2 linked regions of the Arabidopsis thaliana genome follow. The protein of the gene in region 2 interacts with the protein of the main gene of each other region in a pairwise test. Each region holds a gene or a part of one and is shown on either strand. Other genes may lie near its edges. The genes, in order: HP6 and HK5.

Region 1 (3,531 bases), on a different chromosome or scaffold from region 2:
GAAGATACTGGAGACCGCCGATAAACGGCAAACGTCGAGAGGAGTTGTCAAGGAAAGGATCTTGGCGATGCAATCTTCTGGGAGATTATTCATTGCTTCCTCCGATTGATTGCTTATTTGCTTGATTGATTATTTTGGGGTTTAAAAGATCTTTTCCTCTTTCTCGATTATATAGATACGACTTGTTCGATCGAGCAAAGTATCGCTCACATTTAATGAGTTTTATACTAGTAAAAAAAAGAGAGACGTGGAAGTCGTGCATTGATTAGTTAAGTAAAAACGGATACTTAGGGATGAAGCCACACGTGTCTATTCCTTACTCGTTTTTTTCAGATTACTTTCCTCATGACTGACTACTAGAGTAAGCAACACCCACCTGTCCCCTTCTCTTTACTAATTTTATCCAGAAAATCAGTTTTTTTTTTTTTGGGACAATCCAGAAAATCAGTTAATGGTTACATTCGAGACACATTTATGATTCTAAGATTTTGAAAATAAACACAGAATATTTTTTCGGCTTTATATTCTATCATTTTCCAATTCTTTTTGCTCAGAAATCGTTATCTTTGCTAAAATGAAAAAAACAAAAACAAAACTAAATCATTTATTTGAGATGAACGGGCCGTACATTGGGCCTACTTTCTTCCGTTTCTGTCGGTCATTTTATAGCCCAGTTTCTTTTTTCTGTTTTTTTGGGTACTAAATGTTTTATGTTCATGTAAAGATACTTTTGACATGGGTAAATCTCACTTGAAAATACAAAAGGTAATGTATCTCGAATTTATGGAGAGATTAACAACAAAACATCATTAGAAGAAACTAAAGGGTTTCGCTTCGGTAGCTTATAACACACTATCATCACACACTAATTAGGTTTTCTCTGATTTTTATGACAAAATTCTAATTTTACATTGGATATCTGACTCCTGCAGCTAATATTCTCTGCTGCTCCAGCTGCAACCACTCAAAATATTAAATCCCACATAATTGTTAACATATATTACTATCAATATATATGTGTATATTTAGCTCACGTTTTTGCCTTCTGTTTGTGTGAATGTGAGTAATATATTAACAAAACAAGTAAGTACCTGGAAGAGTTCATGCATCATGTTCTTGAGGTAATGATACTCATGCTCTACTACCTCCAGTCCTCTCAAGCACCTGAAGCATCGTCACATTTATGAAGCATTATATTGACTTAAATATTGACCTATATATTAATACAAAGAAGTATATATATATATATATATATATATATATATATAGCTCGTTTAATTTGTACCCTGGGCGGTTGCTAAGCTCGGAAGCAGAACGAAAGGCAACGCAGACGTTACGAACCCTACGAGCACCAATGCTTGAACTGCTTCCCACCAGCTGATTCAGGTGTAATCCTATTTTCTTATAGTCCGAGAATTCTCTATCCATCCTGTTCATTTATTTATTTACATTCGTCATCATTCATAACATATATATACGTATACATTTTGGAACCAAACAACATACAACTATGGAACACATTAACAAAGGAAGAAACTCACAACAATAATCTAAGGTTGCGGAGTAACTTCTCGGATTCATCAAAGTAGATATTAATGACATCATACACAAAGTTTGGTGAAGTCTCATCTTGAAGCTGCTGAAGCTGCAAGAACTGCTCGTCCAGCACTCCCTGGTGGAAAAGAGAGGCTAGGAGCCGGTTGATGTCGGCTTGAAGCCGGTCCACACCCAACCCCAACATCCACAACGGCACACCCGTCTTGTCCCGTTTTCCGCTTCAATCTTTCCTCTTTCTATATATTTGTTTTTACTAATGTGAACAGGTCTTGCTTCAAATTCTAGCTAGAGAAGGCTTATAATTCGATTTTGGGTTTGTTGAGAGGTATTTATAATTGTATAGACATGACTACATGAGATGAGGTGACCCACAATTGTATTCAAATTTTCTAAGAGTCAGGTTACCTTTTTCCCCCACTTTTAAGTGAAAGAATCGAGGAGGGTGTGGGGAATAAACGGGACCGTCACAGGAAAAAGCACTCTACAAGTATTGTACGACCATATTAATACACTCTGTGACCGGCTACAGCCGCCAGCCGGTTACCCCGCGTGACTCTGCCAATAGCGGCGTTCTTCCTCCCGACAACCGGCGTACCCTGTCAGACCAGCTGGTCACCCTTCCCGCAGCCTCTACATTTACATATTTAACTTAATACATCTGCCTTAAATTAAATCAACAACTTTTACACCAATAATATGTACTTTCTATCTTTAATTTCTCACTGTTGAAATTAATCTCTTTTCTTTTATCAGGTCTGATTAAGATGATTATTTGGTCTGTCAAGTTATAATCATATAACAGTAATGTACATTAGATTATCTCATAATTAATCCACTCTTGATTTAACACAAGAATTGTTTTTTTTTTTTTTTTTTTTAAATGTGAGCATGCATTAGTTTCTGAGACTGTAAAAGAAAAGCCCACACTTTGTTGCTCCCTCGTATGACGCGCGACTTTCCCACTAACTTTGCAGTGAGTGTTCGCTATTCTCTATGCTTCAAATTCAATCCATCCTTTCTCCATTTCTATCTCAAAAGGCCTTTCTCTTTCTCGATCTAATCAATTAATCTTCTTCTTTTTCTTTCTTATAAGGAAAGCTATACACAAGAAGAATACAAGAAACACAAGCACAACACAGAAACATGCGTAAATTGTTTCACCGAATAAAGTAAAAAATTATCAATAGTTAAACACAAAAGATTACAAGTCCTCTTAACTATTTTTAACAGAAAATGTATGTACCAACACCTCTGGTTACGTGATTTTCTCATAACTTTGGTGATTGGTATATTGGTATCACATCGCTATATATGAACCATGACAGTACATAAATAAATAATCATATGGCACGTATAAGAAGCCTCTAATAATCTTCCTTAATTAGTCTCCTGGAACCAGAAAGTATACATAATTATAAAAAGCAGCGGTAACTAACGAAGATTTATAATATTTGAACACAAAAAAGCGTGCTCATATGTAATTATTGTGAGCTAGTATAGAATGATATATGAAAATAGCTAAATATTATTGTAAATGCGGATTAAAAATGACTGAAAAGAAGAAAGAGCGTGCTTGGAAACGGAACAAACAACTAGCTAGTATTAAACATATACTTTTTCATGTTATCAGAGTAAGTAGTAAAGTGGAGCGCATAATGAGTGGATGCTTTTTTAAGGTTATGTTACCAATTAAAACTAGTGATTAAATTATGATTATGGAATTATTATATACGAAAACTGAAATTGTCTCATTCGTATGTCATGCTTCTTTGCGCCCCGTGCTCGAGTACCCTATTCATTAATCACTACCCTCTCAGTATTTCATAATTTCTATGATTGCTTTGTTTTCTTTTATTATCCATGTACAATATTTTTTCCTTAATGGGATTATTCCATGTGCAATTTTGTTAACATGTTTATTTGTGTTTATAAGATATTCTTTTGGTAGAAATTCGTCATTCCTTTGCTTTGACA
Region 2 (7,280 bases):
ATCATATACTTTTCAAACTACAGCTATTCATAGCCCTTTTTGGTTAGTATAAGCTGGCTTAAGAATTTTTCATTTCATCCTTACAGCGAGCTGCTGAGACCGAGCTGCTCACAAGATTTGCATATGGAGGTATAAGTTTCGTGGTACATCTACAAAACTCTCTCTGAAACTCGTTTGTTTTTTACATTTGAAGTTTTGGTGAATGTTGTGCAGGTATAATCTTGCGACCTGGTTTTATATATGGAACTCGCAGTGTTGGGAGCATGAAGATCCCGTTAGGAGTATTTGGTTCACCCATGGAGATGGTAAGAGATCCTCTCTTTATAGCAATATCCCTCAAGATTACCTCGTTACTCATAATGTTTGTGGCTTTATGTAGGTTCTTCAACAAGCAAAACCTCTGAACCAGCTTCCATTAGTCGGACCTTTGTTCACACCTCCGGTGAATGTTGAATCGGTTGCAAAAGTCGCAGTTAGAGCAGCCACAGATCCAGTGTTCCCTCCCGGGATTGTGGATGTCCATGGAATACAACGTTACAGCCAACAGAAATCGAGATAAGTCCGTTTTGAAAAGCTTAAGTATGCTCAATGTCGTTTTGTAGAGCTTGGCTGCTTTTAGTACTCTGCTGGATTCGAATGGTGGGAACAAAAATGTTTACTTGTTTCTCTCGCCAGAAATTTCCCACAAATAAATAAAGAAGAGAAGCTTTTATTTATTTATTGAACTATACATCTCTAAAAAGAGGAAGCTACTTAGTAGCTCTCCAAAACTTTTTTCCTACACAATTTATATACAACACAACCATTTCTTAATCTACAAAACACAAAAATCTGAAATCTCAGTGCAAATACTGTTGCAAACACTCTCTCAGTTTTTGCAACGTTACAGGTTTCGAAATAAACGAGTCCATACCATTTGCATAACATTCTTCTGAACTCTCTGCTAAAGTATTTGCCGTCATCTGCACATTCCACAACGCATTCTGACTATCAGTTTTCTCAAGTTATGCATTAGATCTCTGTGTTTAGTATTCAAAAAAGAAGTACTGACCGCGATTATAGGCAGCCGGTTTGTGGGACGCATACAAACTTGTTCATTCTCCGATGTCGATATATCTACTCCGGCTTCTATTGCAGCATTCCAGTTCCCAGTTTCTTCATACGAACGGATCAGTCTTGTAGCTTTTAAACCATCGAGCACCGGCATGCACACATCCTGTGAACCCAATATGAATTATAAGCCTTTTTCAAATATAAGTGAATTTGAAAAGGACAAGTCCTTAGAGCTAAGAAAATTTACATACCATGAGTACCAGATCGTAGCTAGAGCTATTAATCGCGGTTATGGCTTCAACTCCATTATTAGCAATATCCATGGTATGGCCTAACTGCTTCATCATCGACTTTGCAACCATGATGTTGATCTTATTATCTTCCACAAGCAAAATCTTTGGCTTTGATGTTTCTTTTACTTCTGTCTCGGCTTTTTCCTCTTCCCTATGAGATGAAACTGTGAGCTCTGACTCCATTTCTAAGGTTCCACCTTCTGAGCTAGCTTGTGAACTGCTACAAGATTCAGATTCCTTAGAGAAACATCGACCATTTCCATTCTCATATTGGTGAGCTGATTCAGGGCAATGACCAGAACTGGTTTCGAGTTTAGATTCATCCATGTAACCACCGTTTTCAAGCTGTAGCATCTCGCTCTGTCCAGTGTTATTAGAGGGATCAGCGACAAAACCATTGATGAGCTTAATAGGACTAGTAAGCATGACTTTATGAGGTAAGAAGTCATTGCTGATCCCCGGTCCGCCATTCGAATATATCGATCCTAAGAGCGGTTTAAACTGGAAATATCCTTCAGCTGTATCGTCTGGTTCAGATTGTTGATCCGCCATATCAGAGAACTCATCTTGATCATCTGAATAATCATCTGATCTTCCAACTTTGTAGGGTAATATAAATGTGAACGTTGAACCTTCGCTCACCCGGCTTGTCACAGTGAGTTGGCCTCCCATTAACTCAACCTGTAAACAAACAGAGAAAGATTAGGATAACGAGCTTCATTAGTTTCTTCTGTAGTGTTGTAAAATCCTAATAATAGCTTACCAGCTGTTTACAAATAGCAAGTCCGAGACCAGTCCCACCGTATTTTCGGGCATGATCAGCGCTTGCTTGCATGTACTTCTTGAACAAACATGGAAGAGCGTTTTCTGCACAAGAACACCAAAACATGAACCAGGTTAATATATAGGTTAGTTGGAGTTTTTTAGTCTTTTCATGTTCATTTGTCAGAATTGCTTGCTTGCCTGGGATTCCAATTCCAGTGTCCCATACGTCACAGCAAATCCAAACTGAAGTCTCGGTCAAACCGTTTTGTTCGTGTTCCTCGGTGTCTGCGTTCAATGCGTTATCCCGCACAAAGGATGGTTCTGATATCACTTGGAGTTTGATTCCTACATTTCCTTCATGTGTAAACTTGATAGCATTGCTGCAAAACGTTTGAACAAATCAGGAACCGAAACTTGTCATTATGCAAATAATACAGGAATCAGGTAAAGAACCTTATCAAATTGGTGAGGATCTGCCTAATCCTTAGAACATCTCCAACTACCTAAACATTTAAAGGAAAAAAAGTTAAGATCACAAAGACTTTTGCCACATTTAACTCTTTCTGAAATGTGTAGTAACCTCAATAGGAACATCATCTGCAATGTTTCCTTCTAATGTCAAAGATTTCTTCAGCGATGCTGCAGCTGTCTGTAGCACATGCTTCACTACTTCTCTTGGTCGAAACTTTGTAGCTTCTAATCTCATCACACCTAAAAAGAACACACAAATACCAAAAAATAACATATGTAATCGAGGATTTGAACAATGACCACACCACAAGATCAAAAACTTTGAAAACAGTATATTGTACCTGATTCAACCTTGGAGAGATCAAGAATGTCGTTGATTAGCTGAAGCACCAAATCACCAGAAGAGATCATGACATTCAACAACTGTCTTTGCTCTTTATCCAGTTTTGTAGTTGAAAGTATCTCAGCCATTCCCACTACTCCTGACAATGGTGACCTTATCTCATGAGACATCGTCGCTAGCATCTGCTTTGCTCTCATTGTCTCCTCTGCAAAAGAAAAAACACAACACCTAAGTCTAGTTTTCTCATTAATCTTTCTAAAACTTTCACTGCTTAACTTGAACAAACCTGTAATGTGAATAGTCTTGTTCAGTTCTGATTCCATCGCCTTTCTCACAGCGTTATCTTCTCTAAGTTTCGCCATTTTCTCCCTTTTCACTACCTGTAACACAGGAAGATCCAGTGAAGATGTGAAAATGAGAACATAGATTATAGAATAGTTCAAAAATCTTTAGCTAACTAACCTGATCAGTTACTTCCATTCCCATGTAGTTTATACCGATTTTCTCGCCAGCTTTGTTGTAAACAGGCTCAACATATATCAAAAACGTCTTTGATCCAAATAAATCTGTAGTAAATGTGATCTCTCTCTTTGAAGCTTTTCCTTTCTCAAGAACTTCTCTCTTGAAATCTTCAGATTCTTTAACTCCACCTCCATGGAATATCTCCACGTCTGTTTTTCCCAAAATGTCCTGAAATATAGTAAGAAACAGATTTTGATTTAAACACATTTCCTCAGAGAATGATTCAATAAATCCAACAGAAGAAAAAGTTTTCTTCTAACCTGTTCCCGTAAACTAGGATACTTGTTGTAGATGAACAAGTAGCGTAAATCTTTATCCTGAAACTCATAAGTAACAAAGAATCAGAAAAGTCGAAAAGATCGAAAACAAGATCAAGAATCACCTTTTACTTTACCTGATGGCCCATAACAATAGGTGCATTCTGAAGTATGAAATGCAAGAAACCTTCAGCTCTCTTAAGATTCTGAGTAAGCTCTTGGACCGGTGCTGACTGACTCTCCATAGTTTTCAAACTCTCACTCAGCTTCTCCATCAATCGCCTTTCTCTCTCAGTACTCGCCTCAAGCATTTTCTCAAGACTCAACGCCTTCTGTTTCCAATATGCAACAGTGTCAAACTCCTCATAGATCTCAATCTTCTTGCTATCGACCAAGGCATCTCGTTTTTTCTGCCTAAACCTGCGGAACAAATCACTCGTCTCATCCAAAACCGGAACATTCTCAGGCTCGTTGCTCTCAAACTTATACTCCTCAATGATCTTCAACTCTTTAGCCTCGGCTTCTTCTCTCTGTCTATCGAGATTTTTTAGCTCTTCTTTTAACAGCCGAACCGCGTTGTCTTGCATATACTCCCATTGTTTCACAAGGTTGGTTAGTTGAGAGGAGCCTTGATGAGTCGAATTCAATAGGTTTGGTAACCGTGTCATATCCGCAATGGTCCGTGTCTCGATAGTAACTTCTTTCAACGTGTCTAAATCTCCGGCAGGTTTCTCGACGTTGAACTGTTTGTCAGCTTCAGTTCCAACATCTTCGGGCCACATCGAAGACAAAACTTCGACATCCATTTCCTCAATCTGATCAGTCTCCATTTCACAGACCATTGATCAAGGTTTCTCTTCATACAACAACAGCAACACAATGGACCAGACAAATCTCAAAATTCAAACAACTTTTTTCTTTAAGCCAGAACCTTGATCTGAATAAAGAACCTGTATAGATATTTTCAAACACAGAGGTTAGAGTCAGGACAAACCATCTCCATCAGAGAATCTTGATCTGTAAAATGTGAAAAATAATGAACTAAAATAGAATTTTGCAAAGGGTCCACAACAACTAAGTGTGTGGACCAATTCTGATTGAACATTAGCGGGAAACTTCAAATTATATGATTCGAGCTTAAAAATCAGAAATTTGCAGAGCTTCAAAAAGAAAACTGTATCAGTTTCTTTTTTCAGATTGAATTATCAACTAGGATCATAAAATTCACCAATAAACGATAAAATCTGAAAATAAATTTAAACGATGAAACTTTTTTTTGAGCGATGATCGGAAAAAATATATGGAAAGAAAAAAATCTTTGGTGATTTATTCTTGACATCAGTGATCATATATTATAAACGAAAATCTTGCATTGAGAAACATAAAGAAATTGTAATCATGAAGTCTCGAGATGCAAAAGGCTGAAACAGAAAGAAATGAAAAAAACGAAAGACAAAGCAGAGGAACGAGTATGCCGGAGGAAAGGGGAAGGGATCAGAAGCTTTACCTTCTCCGACTCCGGTCACCGGAAAAATGAAGAAGAAGAAGGAGAGAAAGAAGGAGTGAGTAGATCTGAAGAAGAGTCGTGGTCGTCGGGAGTAGAGTAAATAAACTTCAAATGAGCATTGGGAAGAGAATAGCCAATGAAGAAAGAGAGAGGAGCATGTGAATGAATTGTGAAAGATTGGTAATTTTTTTTACGGAGAAGAGAAAGAGAGAGAGAGAGAGGACATGTGCTTGCTCATGAGACAGAGAGGTCAATGTATATTATATTCATCTCTTCTCTTCTCTTCTCTTCTCTCTCTTTCTCACATTTTTAAGTTGGACATATTTTAATGGCGACTCTGTCTCTCTGCTCTGTGTGTGCACGTTTGTTTTCTTTCTGAGACCGAATCCGAGTTACTATCGAATGACACACAGATTGACACGTTTCGATCTGTCTCACAATTCACTCTTCTCTCTTTCTCTCTGTTCTTTTTTTTCCTCCAGTTTCTCTGCTTTTCCTTACGTCTTTTATACCTCACAGAGTTGACGACGGAAGCTATAAGGCGGCGCGTTTACGTCACGCTCCGAGTATATTGAGGATAGTCACACTATTTTTTAATTAAGTATTAGCAACTTCCTTTATTGAGGAGTAACTAGAAGTGGCGTCAATAATTGTTATAGATTTGGATTTTAATTTGCTCGACGACGATCACTATTAATTCATGATTTGGCTACTTAATCAGTAAACTGGACAACTCTTTGATTAGTAGATTTATATAAGTGAGTTTTATTCTACGTAATTAGAATGATTTTCCGAAACAGAGCAACTCTGTTTAGCTCATGAATTTTTAAGTTGAATCATATATATAAATTTTTGTGTTGTAAAGTTTTGTAGAATGTTAAGCTTTTGGAAAAATATATTAGATGATTTGATGATCCGATAATGAAAATAACTAAACATAATTATAGTTATTTCTAGTTGTCAATAAGTAACGAATGCATGATTTATTTCTTTTGCCTTTTGTACTACTACTCATTACGAAAAAAGAAGATTTTTTTTTAAAATGTATAATCATGTGGTTCTAATATATAGTCTATAGAATGTCAATGTTGACGAAAGTACACAAATATTCGAATTGGGTCGGGACATTCATTGTTTCATGAATAGCAGAAAGCACATGTAGTACCACAAATAAATGTATCGTAACTAGTAGTATAATATTTGTATTAATCACCCAAATCTTAAACTATATTCTACGCTTCAATTTCAGTTGCAAACTAGTATGATCAATAATTTGAACACCTTGCGCATAAAAAAACACGAGAAAAGCTAATAGAAAAAATGAATAAGACCCAATCCTCACAATTCAATGGAGCGGACAACAACTGTATTGGCACAAAATTAGTTGTCTGAAATCAATCCCATTTCTATATCAATAAATTAAATACTAAAAAATTAGCAACTAGTGGTAATAGTACACACAATAATCAAAACTAATAATAATAAATTAAAGGGTCTTTAAATTAAAATAATTTAAGAAAACAGCTAAGCCATTTTTGGTGTCTTAAGTCCCGATCTGAACGGCGCTCGGAGGCTTTTGTCCCGTCCGTAAGTGGCTAATAGGAAACATGTGATGTGGTTAGTCACATGTTCCACGTCAGCCTCAATGTTACACGTGGAATTACCGTTGACTAACACGTGGTCTAATCATTTTCAAACAAGTTTCTTCTGTTTGTCGTGTTTTTTTTTTTTTGTTGCTCTCGCGCCAAAAATTATGGACGGTGGTGAAGGAGATTAAGGATATTGTTATTTTTTTTTAGTTTTGGACGAAAAGACGAGAATGTGGAGATATTAATTGGATGGGGACACCAATCCTTAAATACCGGATTTGTTTAATTCTCGATTAAAGCAGGACCATACTTTTCAGCTTTCTTCCTAATTATTTACTTAGTACATTATTATATTATATTCATATACATAATACATGTGTGTGCAAAGTTGGGTTTGACATTATGACTACTTTAAGATTATTAGAGAAATTTACCATCTCACGAAAGTTTTACCTCCTTGGACTAACCCATCATGGATTA

Evidence for each region.
Region 1: the proteins of HK5 (region 2) and HP6 interact in a protein complementation assay, tested with the Arabidopsis thaliana proteins (one study listed by BioGRID).

Annotation. Positions count from the first base shown.
Region 1 is NC_003070.9:30,132,028-30,135,558, reverse strand, and holds HP6 (histidine phosphotransfer protein 6), read right to left. Parts: upstream 1,842-3,531; 5' UTR 1,742-1,841; coding exon 1,542-1,741; intron 1,430-1,541; coding exon 1,286-1,429; intron 1,165-1,285; coding exon 1,026-1,164; 3' UTR 955-1,025; coding exon of another isoform or gene 907-954; 3' UTR 639-906; downstream 1-638. Other genes in the region: PP2-B11 (phloem protein 2-B11), read right to left, coding at 1-93. UniProt on the Arabidopsis thaliana protein: Functions as a two-component phosphorelay mediator between cytokinin sensor histidine kinases and response regulators (B-type ARRs). Plays an important role in propagating cytokinin signal transduction.
Region 2 is NC_003076.8:3,384,101-3,391,380, reverse strand, and holds HK5 (histidine kinase 5), read right to left. Parts: upstream 5,481-7,280; 5' UTR 5,212-5,480; intron 4,655-5,211; 5' UTR 4,547-4,654; coding exon 3,842-4,546; intron 3,765-3,841; coding exon 3,708-3,764; intron 3,616-3,707; coding exon 3,388-3,615; intron 3,306-3,387; coding exon 3,212-3,305; intron 3,131-3,211; coding exon 2,924-3,130; intron 2,823-2,923; coding exon 2,692-2,822; intron 2,615-2,691; coding exon 2,565-2,614; intron 2,492-2,564; coding exon 2,310-2,491; intron 2,214-2,309; coding exon 2,110-2,213; intron 2,028-2,109; coding exon 1,305-2,027; intron 1,217-1,304; coding exon 1,052-1,216; intron 963-1,051; coding exon 840-962; 3' UTR 695-839; downstream 1-694. Other genes in the region: AT5G10730 (NAD(P)-binding Rossmann-fold superfamily protein), read left to right, coding at 87-129, 214-305, 380-559. UniProt on the Arabidopsis thaliana protein: Functions as a histidine kinase and transmits the stress signal to a downstream MAPK cascade.